Linked DNA regions of Caenorhabditis elegans. The protein of the gene in region 1 purifies or fractionates together with the protein of each later gene. This does not show direct contact. Each region holds a gene or a part of one and is shown on either strand. Other genes may lie near its edges.

Region 1 (7,488 bases):
TCTGGATAATTCATTTTTTAATGGCTAAAAAAAGACAATCAAAAAGATTCATCTTTATTCAAACTTTGTTCGGAAGCTTCTACCGTAATCTTCTCGGAAATGTTCAATGATTCCTGTTTCTTTTCCCACTCTCTCATTCTTCCACGTTATTTCACCAACTTTTGAGAGAACTTCTGCGTCGTTTGATCTGTCTCTCAAAAACTTTCAAAAAGTGACCGAAAACAACTGATACGACTTTGATAGACATTTAGCTTCTAGAAATCATATAAGACGAAGAGACGCAGAGAAAGTGTCTTTCGAAAATCGTCTCATTGAAGAGAGAGCATGAGACACAGACTATCTTTCATCAACGAGTTTCTTATCAGTGTAACTTTTGCAGAAAGAACAAAAGTTAGAGACTGTGTAGATCGTGGCGACGCAGTGTGCTGATCATTGAGGAAACTGATCGGAGGAAAAAACGGATTTTCAAAAGTCCTCGAAACATTTAGGTTTTCTTCGCTGTGTCATTTGGGAAGAACTAAATCTTCAAAAAAAACAATTTCAATTGAATAAAAAACATTAAAATTCAACAATTGGAAGAACATTTCAAGGGGAACAGAGGGAATTGATTAAAACAATTAAAAAACAACAACAACAAATGAGATAACAATGTGGAGGGAGCATTTTTTTGTCTAAAAATATTAATTTTCAATATCCAAGCTCTTCTTGATAGAGGTGAATGCACCAGCGATAGACTTTCCGATGATCTGAAATATTGCACTTAAATTCTGCCTGTTCAATTTGAAAACTTACGTGATGGCAGGTCGGGTTGATCTTTTTCAGTTGAATGAAAACTTCACCTTCAAACATCTTCTGAATGACATATTCGAGAGATTCGCGGAGTGCATCCACGTGTTTCTCGTCGTTTTGAATGCAAACTGTGACCTTGAGAATGAGTTGAAGGACAGTTCCGAATAGGCGTGGTTTGAGCTGAAAAAGATGAAAATTTACAAAAGTTATATACTTTGTTTGGTTTTTCCTTTTGGCATTGTCAAAGTCCAAAAAATACACATTTTTTTCGAAACCGAAAAATGAAGAAAGCAAAAAGTTGGTTTTTTTCGACAACGAATGAAATTTTAATTGTTTTAACCATAAAGCAATATACTTAAAATTTCGATGTTAATTTTTTGGAAACATGTTTATAATTTAAAAAAAAAACGTTTAAAGTTTTACGTAAAAAGTTTTTTTTGACCGTTCAACAATTTTTTGTTGATGTTTTTTGCTATTTTTTCAATAAAAAGTGAAAAATTAATTTTTCGCCAAAAAAAAAAACGAAAGAAGCGAAAAGTATTTAGCTCGGGTACCGTGATTCAGGTAATTTTTTTTAATATTTGAAAGCCATACCTCCGATTTATCAGAATCAACAACTTTCTGGAAGTAAGCAGCGGCCAATTTTCCAATTTTCTTGATAATCGCACCCTTGATATTCGTCTCCTGGAGCACTTGCTTCGTGAAAATCATCGCAATGGCTCCGAGAATTTCAGTCTAAATTTTACAGAAATTAAATAAAAATGTGTTTTTAATACGTACTCTTTTGAAAATTCGATTCTCCTCATCAAATCCGGCATCAATGAGCATTCCAAGTTGATCAACAAACAGCAATGGAAGATCGGCGATTGGCTGAATGACAAAATTCGATGGAACCTTTCCTTCCACATTCTTCAGATAATTTTCAAAAAGTGATTGGAATTCTGTTTTGACACCAGCTGACATCGATTTTCCATCGCGAGAACTAATCTTGAGCACAAAAGTGACACATCGTGCTACTGTATCAATAATCAGAATATTTGTAGTTGTCTGCGCCTCATCGAGAACTTGTTTCAGAAGTTGAAGAGCATCTTTCTCGGAAACATCAGTAAACTGAAATTATTTGTTAAGAACTATTTTTTCACAACTGAAATATGCTCTCACCTTCATCTTCACAACAATGTTTACAAGTTCTAACACTTTTTGAGCAACCTTGTCGTGAGTTTTTGCGTCGACTTTAGCCCATTTCAAGAGTGGAACGACAAGTTTCTGAAATAAATTTAAGTAATATTCTTAGAAACTCTTATATACCAATCTTACAATTTTGCTCTGTTCAGCAAGCTCCTTTGATGAAATTGCGATGAGCAAAAGGTCGGCAATTTTCATTTTCAGAGCTTCTACACTCTTTGCACTACGCTTCTTATCTTTTCCAGCTTTTGGAGCAATTGCTTTGAATGCGGCAGCGAGTCTCTCATCCATTTTCTGCATTGCTTCATCATCTAAATCATCCATTTCCACGTCACTGCTAGAATCTCTCGGAGCAGCATCTCCAAGAGCAGCATTCAATTTATCAAGAAGTTCTTGATCAACTGCCTAAAAATATTTATTGTAAAATTTACAAAACGAAAAATGAATGTACCTCATTTCCTTCATCATCATCCTCTTCCTCATCATCATCATCCGAATCACTTGCTTCATCGTCTCCATTTCCAGATGGAATTTCAGATTCATCAAATGGCATTCCTTCCTCGTCTTCCATATCCTCATCATCGTTTCCAGCCAATTCAGCCTCACTCATCATTGCAGTCTGAAATTTCAAAATAAAATTTTTCAGACATTTAGATTTTTCAAAAACCAATTTACCTCAACAATATGACACAAATCTTTAGATTCCAATGTAGGAATAGCATGAACAAAAGCGAATGCAGTTGGAGTACGATGGAACTTTTGCTCGCGGGACAGAATTGAAAGAAGAAGATCGACAAAGACCAGTGAGTTATTTCCATCTGCTTCGTTTTTGGCGATTGCCAAGATTTCTGAGCTATCCGAATCGTAGGCGGCAGAATCTACAGAGCTCGCGGCGATTCGAGACCACAAGCGGGTGACATACCATAGAATTTGAAGGGACCTGAAAAAAATTAACTTTGAAAATGAATTAATATTAAATTCTCACTTCTTGCGAAGTTTGGATTTTCCAATCGATTTCTCAGCTTTCTTTACTTCTTCTTCTCCTTGAACAGCAACAACAAGTTGACGGAGAACCTCTTCGTTTTTCTCAGAAATTTGAATCGATGCGAACTCTCCAGCACGAGTCTGGAATAATTTTTTACTTCAACTTCAAACAAACAATGAACAAACCTTGACATAGAAAAGTGAATCAATAATGCTGGTAACAACAGATTGACTGGTTTCAGTTGCCTTCTGCGACAAAAGAGCAGAGAGAACTGTGATTCGTGATTTTTCATCCCAGTTACTGAATGCAGAGACGATCTTCCGAACTTCATCTTGGTTGGAGAGATTTTCCTGAAAAATCTATATGCTGAAATTGAACCGTCAGTTCTTTTTCTACCTTAATCCACACAGAGATCTGCTTCTTTCCAAGATTTGAAAGTAGGGCGGTCGTAAGGCCGGTACCACAGGCCTTGTCCACATTTCCGCACTTTTCGAGCTCTTTCAGAGCAGTATAGGCTTCTTCATCACGAAGTTCAGAAAGTTTGGATTGGATGAATGCAGCGAAGTCATCCACCTGTAAAATGAAGATATTATTTTGAAATGTGTTTTTTTTTTGTTGTTAAAAGTAAATTTAATTTCCTAGCTAAGCCAGTATCGAAATTTTCTTTAGTTTAAAATCTTTGTTCGAATGTATACTTTTAATAATATTATTCAATATTTTCGTGTTAAAAAGTTCGAATGATAATCAATTTTCAACATTCCTGTCTCTCAAATATCGCTGCAATCTCTCATAAATCTAACATTCTAAATCTAACTCGTAATCCAAATAAAACAATATGTATGGATATAATGAGGTCGTCGTTAATGTGTCATCATCTTATAGAAAGAACTATCTGTATTACACCCAGAATCCCGTTACTTTACACAGTTCATTGTGGTATTCAATGAACAATGCTTCTTCTTTTTCTTCTTTCTTTCATCTATTTCTCATCTTTTTGTTGAACTACGTATTAGTTTTTCATCACTTTGGCAATACTAAATTTGGAACTCAAAATGACAAAATGCTCAATTATTATCGGAATTTTTCTGATCGCGGCAATCAATGGACAAGCGTCTAAAAGGCGGATTCAGTACGAATCGGTTTCACAGTTTTTGTTTCATAACTCTAAATTATGTAAGTTAGAAAATCAATTTAAATTCAAATTTAATCTGTATTATGTAATAACACAAAAGAATAATCTTATAGTATATTTCAGAAATGTTGTAAACGATTTCTGAATTAATTCTTCATAATTTACCAGCATACATTTTTAAGATACAAGAAATTAAATATTGTTCCAACACTTTTTTTACAGGCGGTGATCCATTTTCTGATGCTGTCTGGCTTCCTGTACTCGATTTATGTTCTATCGAGTGTGAAATAACATCCGAATATTGTGTGGAAAATGAGGAACTTACACAACAATGCAAGAAATGTATGTTTTCGATGTTTAGAAGAAAGCTTGAGTTTTAAAAAATCTTTTTTCAGTACCGGAAGATTGCCAGGCTCTTCTCCGAAAAGCAATCAAACAAATTCAGAGACATATTCGATCACAAAAGCCAGTTTACCTTTAGATAATTTCTATCTCACTAATTTTTGTAAATTTGAACAATAAAGACTCTTGAATATTACCTTTTTACTCATCAATCTGAATTGTCCTTTTCCACGTGTAGCGGTCTCCATTCGATTCAAAACTTCTTTAGTAAATACTACAACAATTGATTTCACATCGCCTCCAAAATCAAAGAATTGAGTGACAATCGTGAGAATTCTATCGAAAACTTTCGTCTCGTTGCTTGAAAGGGCCCATGGCTCGAGAACTTCTGAAAATGAGAATTTATAAAAAAAACTTTTCAAAAGTATAACTTACTCAGGTACATTTTATCAAAACCAGATGATTCAACTGATGCTTTGATGAGAAGTGGAAGAAATACTTGAACTGTGGCGAAGTCACAGCGCTGAAAATAAAGTATTTATAAAAATTTTAAAATAGAAAACTAACCTTTAAAGCAGCCAAAATTTTAGGATACTGATCATCAGAAAATTGAATAGATCCGTCTTTCTTTACAAACTTTGCGTATTTTGCAACCACTGTTGAATGAGAATTACGAAGGCGAAGTGCCAGGTAGACATTTTCCGGTGTGAACTGAGAGCTGAGACCTTCCAAATTCATTTCGATGGCTGGGGATACACTCTGAAATTTAAAAATTAATATAGATTTGTTTTTGTTCAAACAGTAAATTGATTTACCTTTTGGAAAACACTTTCTTTTGTCTTTGTAGCCAAACTGCATAGAAGGTTAATCTGTGAAAATGCCAAGCTTGGAGCAAAGTCTCTGATTTTCTTCGAATGCTCAACAATTTTTGTAGCTTCTGCTTCTTTGAGTTTTCTGGTTTGACAATATGTGACAAGAATAAGATAATGTCCAATTGCATGTCCGGTACCAACAGTCTGAATCGAAACATTTAGTACAAATAAAGGAACTTACAATCCCAACCTTTTCTGCCAGGTCCATCTTTTTATCTGCAACGGCCAATATTTTGTCGAGTTCCCATGATTCGCCTGCTTTTGTCATTAAAATAGTACCCAAAGCGGTTGTATATCCCAAACGAACAGCAGCACGAGCTGAAGCACATCCAGAAATAAGACGTTCAATCACATATGTGTTGAGCTCGTTATCGGATAATTCCTAAAAAAATAACACTTTAATTAGGCATTTATTTCAGCTACTTTTTTCCTACCTCTTGTTTGCTTGAAAGCTGTCTAACTGCTCCTTTTCTGACTAATGGATCGAGCTCAGCAAGCTTTGAAATAATATCGAGTAATTCACTTGGCGGTCTCATGCTTAAAACTTAAAATTATAATTAAAAAGAGAATAAATTGACGAGAGGATCATTCTCGTGAATTTTCCAGACCAAGTAAACTGTATTTTTCTATAAAACACAAAAAATAAATGTAATTTTAGTTTAATGAAAGAAAAAGAAATAGAAGTAAAATATTTTGTTCGTAAAATAAAATGTATTCTGTGCGCACGCACCACACCTGACGCGCAAACAAACAAGTGCGATTTTCGAATTTTATTCTTTTCCTGTTTGATTTAATTATTGTTTCAGCGTCAAATAATGTTTGAAAACACTAAAAAAGCATTGGAAACGTTTCGAACAGCTATCGAGTGTGTTAAATGGTAAGTTGTTGTACAAGATTTTGCCTCTTAAATAAAATTTCAGCAAAAAACCGAGGGGAGACTTGCAATATCTCGGATCATCTTGCAAACATGCTTATTGCTGGTAGGTATTGCAACCTAATAAATTGTCAATAACTTCAGTTTATGTTCAGGGAATGTATCGCCACATTTCAACAGAAACCGTCTGGAAAACGCTCTTCAGTGGCTCGACACATGTGTCCGAGTTGTGCTTTCCCACTAGACACATCCAAAATCACAGAAGCTCATATGCTGAAAACGTGCTTTGATACTTTGTCTGAACTAAACGACCTTTTACAGAAAGTAAGTCAATGGTGAAAAGCTCGAAAATTAAATTCTCATTTAGGTCGGAACAACATCTCTAACTCAAGCAGAGTTTGCCTGTACACAAAACATTTTTAACAAAGAAAAAACTCCAGCTGATGCCGTAGAGAAATTCCTGGAGACGCAAGCTCATATGCCAGACGAGATGGGACAACTTGGTGAAGAGGATGATGATTTGATGTGTAAAGATGAAAACCGGTAAGTCGAAAAAATCTGCGTTCGGGGGGAATCGAACCCCCGTCGAATGCTTGGAAGGCATCCATGCTGACCATTACACCACGAACGCGACATATCGGGGATATCTTTCCGAGAAAACGATTCCCGTCATGCTTCTTCTACAAACCTGATGCGGTCTATTTGGTGGCTTCAAGTAGAAATGTCTCTTCATTTAATAGCTGGTTTCCCATGCCGCGTTCGTGGTGTAATGGTCAGCATGGATGCCTTCCAAGCATTCGACGGGGGTTCGATTCCCCCCGAACGCAGAACTTTTTTTCATATTTTCCCAGTAAATTCAGGGAAAATTCAAACTCTCCAGAATTGGATATATTCCACGACTACAGCAAAGAAGCTTCTCCGTGAGTTTGTTACATTGCTTCAATTAATTGAATTTTATTTACTTTTAGAACGCGTAATTCGACAAAACGCCCTTCAACTGTCAGTGTTCATGAGAGAAAACCCAAAAGGTCATCGATACTGAAAACTTCCGTCAAAAATGAACCGGCTGCGCCTGTAGTTGATCTTTTTGCATCGCAAGTTCCGCAGAGAACTCATCAAAATGATTTACTGACGCCGTTTATTGAGGTATGACAATTTCACTTTAAAGACGCTTCAGAACTTTAACGGAAATTCTTCAGCGTCGCTCAACTGCTCCAGCAGCAACTGGTGTTGCAACGTATGCTCAAGCTTTCGGAAGTAGCAGTAATCCAGTTAAAGCCGAAATTATCGAAGAAGATATTTTCTCGAA
Region 2 (6,991 bases), on another chromosome or scaffold:
TATTGGCTCCAGTTGGAACATTTTCGATTTTCCGAACCGTCAGCATTCCATCGAGTACTCGTCCTGCAATAAACGATCGGTCAGAAATATCAAACATATCAATGGCGTCATTAACTAGCTTTATCTCGTATAAAAGGTGATAAGGATATAAGGAAATCTAGTTGTTTTAGCTAGACGATGACACGCATTCTCGTTCTAATTTTTTTCTTTTTAAAATGCGTTTCATTGCAAACATTACTTCCTTTATTGTATGCTAACGCTGGCATGTTCAACCCATATAATCAGTATAAAACAACAACTATGGCACCATCAATGTATCACCAACATTATCAGTGGGTATCATTAAAATTTGCGATTTTCTTTTTAAAACACTGCTTTCAGGGGATTGGGATGGAGAACTAATGACGTTGGAGACATTTATCACAATCACAATCCGTATTCTTCTTTCTTTGTACTACAGAAATCAACTTATCCGTGAATTTGAAATAAAAAAAAATTACCAAAAACTACATGTTTGTTGTCAAGGAAATCGGTTTTTGCGCAAGTGATAAAAAACTGACAACCATTTGTGTCAGAGCCAGCGTTAGCCATCGAAAGCATTCCTGGTCCTATGTGCTTCAGCTCGAAATTCTCGTCACGGAACTTTGAACCATAGATGCTCATCAAACCGGTTCCATCGCCCTGAAAAAATGATATAACTTTAAAATTTAAAATTGTTAAACTTACGTTGCAGAAGTCGCCACCCTGAATCATAAAGTCCTTGATCACACGATGAAATGTGCAGTTTTTGTATCCGTTTGGGACACCATCTTTTTTGTATTCTCCTGTACAGAACTGACGAAAGTTTTCAGCAGTTCTCGGTGTTACATCAGCAAATAACTCGATCTGAAAAATTATGAAATATATAGCAAATTAAAACTGGAATGGTCGTCAACTTACAACAATAGTTCCGATTGGTGCACCACCGGCGGTAACTTCTAGAAAAACGATTGGGTTATCCGGATGACGGAGCTGCTCGGCAAACTTGTCGTATTCAGTCATTCTGAAAAAGAAAACATATAAATGAGTTAGTTTTTAAAACCAGAAAAACGTTTTCTGTAAGTATTCGAAATAAGTATTTTCGAAATGTGTCAGGTTTTTCCGAGAATAATGGGATCAACTGAACTAATCGTTCATAAGTTTTATAACCAAGAAATACAAATTCGTCAATAAAATTCGACATATTCAAGAAAAAAGTGATATTCGTTCTATTCAAAACAAAAAAAGGTGAGCATTAAATGGGTGTATAGAACAATAATAAAGTGCGCGGGTAGTTTGCAATCAGAAACCCCGCCCACAAAGCCCTGCCGCTAATAATTTTCCCCCGTCTTTTCTCAAATTCAACTCGAAAATTCAATTTTTGAATAATTTATCTTGTAAAAGTTCGTTCTATTCATTTAAAAATTAATTTATCGAAGTTTATCACACGATTAAAGCATAATTAACTTTATTAGAGTTATTCATTGATTTGAAAATCAGAATTTGGTTTATTTTCGGTCGGTGCAATCCGTTTCTCTGTTGAAAATGCTATAAATTGCTAATTTTTGGATTTCAGATACTAGAACTATGTCATCAAGGAAGGGGAAAGCGTAAGTTGAATGTTTTTCACAATTTATAAATAATCATTAAATATATTTTCAGATCTGCTCATATCTCATACGAAGACGAAAATGATGATCTCATTGATGAAATCAATACTTTTCATAACAAAGACAGAAAAGTCGAAAAGGGTGCTATTCACAAAAGAAAAACATTCAATCGTCCAGAAGAGGTGTTAAACGTTGAAGCAGAAGCATCGGATAGCAGTGAAGACGATGGATCCGACTTTGATGATGACGATGTTAATGGTAGTTTTCTTTCTGAATTACCTGATTAACGTAATTTATTTAAGATATCACGGACAACAAATGGGGTAAAAAGAGGAAAGATTTCTATGGAACTGGATTCGTGGATAAAGATTGGGGCGGAATGCGTGAAGAAGAAATGGAAGATGCTCAACTCGAAGAGGAAGATGCGTTGACTCGTCAAAAACAAATCGACAAATCGACAGCTGCCATTGCTGATTTATTTGACGACGACGATGAAGATGAGGAAGAAAAAGAAGAAACTGTCGAGGTAAACGAATTGAAAGAATAATTAAAATAATGAAAAGTTTTAGGTGGAAACAGTTTTAGAATTCAATGAGGAGAATGCAAGGACAAAGAACAAAAAAATCGTGAAAACTCTGGAACAATTTGAAGCAAGAGTAAGTTCTAATTTTTTAAAATGTCTCTTCACTTTTTTCCCGGTATCAGTTGCAGCTTCTTCCTCTTGTGATAATTTCCTATTTCTTCCTAATGCCAATTCTCGAAAGTTTATTAAATTTTGAAGCTATCACTTGTGAACATCAAATGCTGATTCGTATCGTTTCCAAGGTTAATTTTTCGTGTTCTCTCTTTTTCAGTATCTTCCCGTTTTCACTTCATCTGTTCTCTTCATTCTTTCAACTAAACACCACCGATGGCTAGTAGATAAGCGGTCTCAAATCGCGCAATCGTCTCTGATTACGTCAAAAACGGGTTGCCATCATAGCCTAAGGATGCTGGACGATTCGCTTTAAACGATGATTCTCAACGGACAAAACACACAATTGAAACGATTTAAATCATCCAACATCAGACGCCGTTATGTGTGAACATTAAAAAGCGAAAGCAAAGTGCCCTTCTGGTGTCTGAAGAATTCGATGCCTGAACTGCTCGAGTTAGTTTCGTATGTTCTCATCCTCAAACATCACATTCTAATTATTCTCATAACTTGTCTTGTTTTCCTCGTTTCTGTTCACCTGGTCGGTTTGTAATTCACACCAAACGATGTTGGACATATATCGGCAGCGACCGCCAGCTTTTTCTGTTTTTCAATTATATATTGCTACTTTCAATTCTAATTAGCGGCTAAGAATTGTTATACAGCTGTTTCCGGAGAGCTCGTGACCAGTTTCCTTTTCACCTGATAACATTTTCTCTTGTTGTTATCTTTCTCTTCTTCCTTTTCACTTGTTTCTTTTCATCACCATTCTAACAGTTCAATTTTCCCCTTTTTTCGGTTTAATTTTAATTTTTTATACTTTTCAGAAACGCATCTTCGATCTCGTCGTGAAGCCTCTTGAAAATGTAATCAAGCAGATTCCAAAATGCGCATTGCGATCGCAGTTAGTCTACGTTGCCCAGACATATGCATCGTATGTTTTCTTTTCCTAAATTTCCATTTTTATGATTTATCTTTCAGATACCTCATGAACACAGCATTCCTGTTGAATCTCAGAGCCAAACAGTTTTCCAATGAAAAACTCGACGATCCACTTGTTGACATCCATCCTGTAGTGGAGTCGCTGAAACGACTTGAAAAGGTATTCCGATTGATTTAAATTTCAAATACAAACTTTTAAATTCAGAAAATCACCGAGTGTGAAGATTTTTTGCATTCGAATTCGGATCATCTGGATGAGCTCAAGAAATGGGCGGAGTCGGAGCCAGAAAATATGGAAGAATTGATTTCGAAGGTTGGAGATGTTCAACTTACAAAGAAGAATTTTGGAGCAATTATGAACAATGTAAGTTTAGGGAAAACATTATTCGAATTTAAATACATTTTTTGTTTGCCGTATATTTTAAAGATTTTTAAAGTTTGTAAAATTTAAAAAAATTGTACATTCTTTTGTCAATAAAAATCAGGAAACATAGCTGAATTGGATTAAGATCTGGATTTACTTTTTTCAGAATCTTTCAACAATCACATCTTCTGATAACACATCAATTCATCCACACTTCACACCAATGGATGCAGATGAAAAAAGAAAGGCCTCTGACAAAGTTGCCAAAAACCGTGAATACGCAGAACGACGTGGGAAAAAGAAGGCCAAGACCAGCAAGGTAACTTTATTTTCGATTTTTTATCTTATTTTTAATACCAAAAATATTTGTATCATAAACAATTAGTGTATGAAAAATAATTCGATGAGTAGGGTCGACATTTCTTGTGCATGAAAATGTTGTTACAATGCTTTCACGAATACATGAATATATTTGAAAAATAACAATTCTTGTTTGACAAAAAAGTCTCACAAAGCCGAGTTTCATGTGAGATCAAAATATGAATACACTACATAACTCTCTATTTTTTGCTCCAACCCAAAAATCCAATACGTCGAGACGGCGTCTATGCTCCCCACCACAGCGAGTAATTGGCTGCCGAAATCTCAACTTGCTTATTTGGTTTCTATTTTTTTAAGATTCTTTTTCGAGAGTTGTGATAAGAAAATAATTAATTCAGTATCACACCTGCTTGCTACTGAATTCAAAAAAAGTTTTTTAAAAAGCGTAGTGTAATGAATTATCTGAAGCATATTTTAACTCAAAAAGAAAACCGAGCACAAATGAAGCATATAACCATGACTTATTCAGACAGATAAGTAATACGATTTTGTTTAATCTTAATTTTTCTTGAAAGAAATAAAATAGACTCACTGTGACATAGACAATTCAACGTCTAGGCGACGACACTTGAGAGTTTCATCCTTGGTTACGTATACTATGCTCATTTTTACTGCAACTCCCAATTAGCTGCGTTGTGTGTTTTTTTTTTTGAAGTCTCCCAGTTCAATAATTTCTAATTTCAGACTAAAAATCGTCGCAAGGTCCACGCCATCGAGAAGCGCGTCAAGTCTCAGATTGGAAACGTTCGTCGCGAAATGCAGAAATATTCTGGAGAAACGAGCGGAATTCGTGCATCTACAATCAAGTCGACTAAGCTTATCGCTTAAAAAAAGTGAGTTGAATGTAATGCAGACATCTCATTCTGATATCGTGCCATGTCATATTTATCACGCGACATACTCTTCACTCTCCACTGCGCAAATGAGCTTCACTCTTTTACACATGAAAATAATTAGCATATGAAACCGAAAACAATGTGAATATTAACTTTCAACATAAATATCCTATCAACATATAAAAACAATGAAAAACCTGAATTTACTTATCATATGGTACGTATGTTTAACCTTTTCCTATTCCTCTCGTTTGCCCTTTTAGTCGGTTGAATGTGTTTTTGTGTGCCCGGTCACTTTGGGGCTATATTCATCAAAAGAGGATAGCCTTCTTCTTATTCTTCCTCCATCGGTCATTTCGCTCCTCTCTTTTCGACCCCGGCAATATGTGCGCGAGGTCTGGCACCACCGTGTGTGTGTGTGTGAGAGCGAGTATCCTATTTTTTATTCGTGTCCCCCGTCCCCATGAACGACTGGAGCCCTAGCCACCTGCTACTTTCCATTTTAGTTCAGCTGACCTCGTATTGTCTACGAGCTGTTCATAATTTCATAAGAGCAATAAAGTGTACTATAAAACTGTGATTTCAGACTGTTTCTCTATTTTTGAATCTTTTTAAATACAACAAATTCGAAAAGGTGTTGACTAGTCTGTCTGAATGAATATTTTAATTTGAGATTTGAGTCTGATGTGTGTTACACATTGATGAGAATTTAAAGTAATTGTGACGTGTCATTCTCGAAAACCAAGCCTCTTCGGATTTGTTCAATAATTCGTATAGCTCGTTTCATGTCAGAAAGGCGAATACCCGTAACTAAATTACTTTTTCCTAGAATGCTAAAGAAAATAACTGATCTATTTCAATCAAGTTTAGGCTAAAATTTAATAATTGATGGCGTTCACATATGTGTGTGTGCCTGCGTGTGTTTGCGTGTTCGATGATAAGCTTTCTTCTGATTGTCTTCCTATGATTCATCAATTCTATTGCCTCCAGCCTCTTCTTCTTTCATACAATTTTTCACTGAAAGTTTCATAGCTCTCGGAAAATGCCTACGACGAAAATTGTAGTCACATATCACATATTGATAAGCAGACGTTTTTCATATTTCTCTATTTCTATTCAATGATATAAAGTGGTCTGCAGCATGTTTGATTATTAATTTTTTTTTTTCTAAATTGAATTATCTTGGCTTTGAACTGATTAAAAAATGCATTTTCTATTTTCTTTACAATCGATCGTTTTGTTATAGTCCTCGTGTGAATTCTAAAAATGTTCGTTCATCAGAAATTATAGATGACCTTTGTTTATTTTGTGTCTTCTATGAAAAAAAAAAGAGCCTATCATCCAAAACTTCTGATATCAACGGTTGAAAATTAATTTTTATCAATTTTCTCAACATTGCATTACCTTTTCAACCAATTTAATTTTCAGGTGTCATCAATTTCTCCGTTGCCACTGCATTCAGCTGGACTTTCCTGGTTTTTTTGATCGTTAATATCTTGTTTTCTTTGATTTATTCATTTTTCATTTATCCTGTTAACCTTCGTTGTTGATTTTTTTTGTTCCTAAAATCGCCCTTTCTACCAAAATGAAGTTGAGTTTTCAATTTTATTGAAAATAATTATTTTATTGCCTTATATCGGTTTGAAACCCGACGAATATCTTTCTTCTATTATCTTATTATTGTCATTTCCCATATTCACATTACTTCTTCATTATTATCTTCATACATTGTTATCACATGGCTCCTCATTGATTATGATAGATTCATTTCCCCTCTGGAGATTTGATTGTCTTGGCAACAGTCATTCTCCCCACCAACACATATCAGCTCGCAGCTCCGCCTCATTCTACATTTTCTCATTTTACATTCCATTCAGTCGGCTCAGTGTCTTTCGTTTCCCCAAAAAGCTCGCTTAGATATAAACCTATAATTATCAGAGTGTTGAAGCAAACATCTCCGATGCTCGGTGAGCTGCAGTGACTAACTGAGACAAGCACTGGTTTTCAGCTTAGAAATTCACCTGTTTCTGTGGCATTTTCGCAATATTATATTTCCTGAATTTCTTAGAATCAGAGTGTCACTGTAATTTCAGCTGCTCGTTACCGAGGCTTCACGTAATGGGCGGACGAGTACTGTTCCCCAATG

The links. Proteins that work in one complex are often made in the same cells at the same time.
Region 2: the proteins of K04C2.2 (region 1) and T01B7.5 fractionate together in Caenorhabditis elegans (co-fractionation; one large-scale study listed by BioGRID). This does not show direct contact.

Annotation. Positions count from the first base shown.
Region 1 is NC_003281.10:6,888,128-6,895,615, reverse strand, and holds K04C2.2 (DNA polymerase V), read right to left. Parts: upstream 5,843-7,488; 5' UTR 5,842-5,842; coding exon 5,740-5,841; intron 5,688-5,739; coding exon 5,496-5,687; intron 5,450-5,495; coding exon 5,249-5,449; intron 5,193-5,248; coding exon 5,001-5,192; intron 4,957-5,000; coding exon 4,869-4,956; intron 4,822-4,868; coding exon 4,631-4,821; intron 4,626-4,630; exon of another isoform or gene 4,573-4,625; coding exon of another isoform or gene 4,487-4,572; intron 4,434-4,486; coding exon of another isoform or gene 4,314-4,433; intron 4,133-4,313; coding exon of another isoform or gene 4,012-4,132; exon of another isoform or gene 3,956-4,011; intron 3,533-3,955; coding exon 3,356-3,532; intron 3,310-3,355; coding exon 3,145-3,309; intron 3,100-3,144; coding exon 2,960-3,099; intron 2,915-2,959; coding exon 2,650-2,914; intron 2,594-2,649; coding exon 2,426-2,593; intron 2,380-2,425; coding exon 2,107-2,379; intron 2,056-2,106; coding exon 1,951-2,055; intron 1,900-1,950; coding exon 1,570-1,899; intron 1,525-1,569; coding exon 1,384-1,524; intron 970-1,383; and 5 more. Other genes in the region: K04C2.5 (INSulin related), read left to right, coding at 4,012-4,132, 4,314-4,433, 4,487-4,572; brd-1 (BRCA1-associated RING domain protein 1), read left to right, coding at 6,121-6,182, 6,226-6,285, 6,335-6,503, 6,547-6,722, 7,040-7,099, 7,148-7,325, 7,379-7,488.
Region 2 is NC_003280.10:8,715,240-8,722,230, forward strand, and holds T01B7.5 (Sas10 C-terminal domain-containing protein), read left to right. Parts: upstream 1-1,594; 5' UTR 1,595-1,605; coding exon 1,606-1,628; intron 1,629-1,680; coding exon 1,681-1,886; intron 1,887-1,930; coding exon 1,931-2,154; exon of another isoform or gene 2,155-2,197; coding exon 2,198-2,284; intron 2,285-3,149; coding exon 3,150-3,256; intron 3,257-3,303; coding exon 3,304-3,424; intron 3,425-3,469; coding exon 3,470-3,628; intron 3,629-3,794; coding exon 3,795-3,947; intron 3,948-4,693; coding exon 4,694-4,837; 3' UTR 4,838-4,842; intron 4,843-6,273; 3' UTR 6,274-6,446; downstream 6,447-6,991. Other genes in the region: cyn-11 (Peptidyl-prolyl cis-trans isomerase 11), read right to left, coding at 1-63, 501-681, 727-885, 940-1,041; T01B7.13 (uncharacterized protein), read left to right, coding at 178-332, 382-478.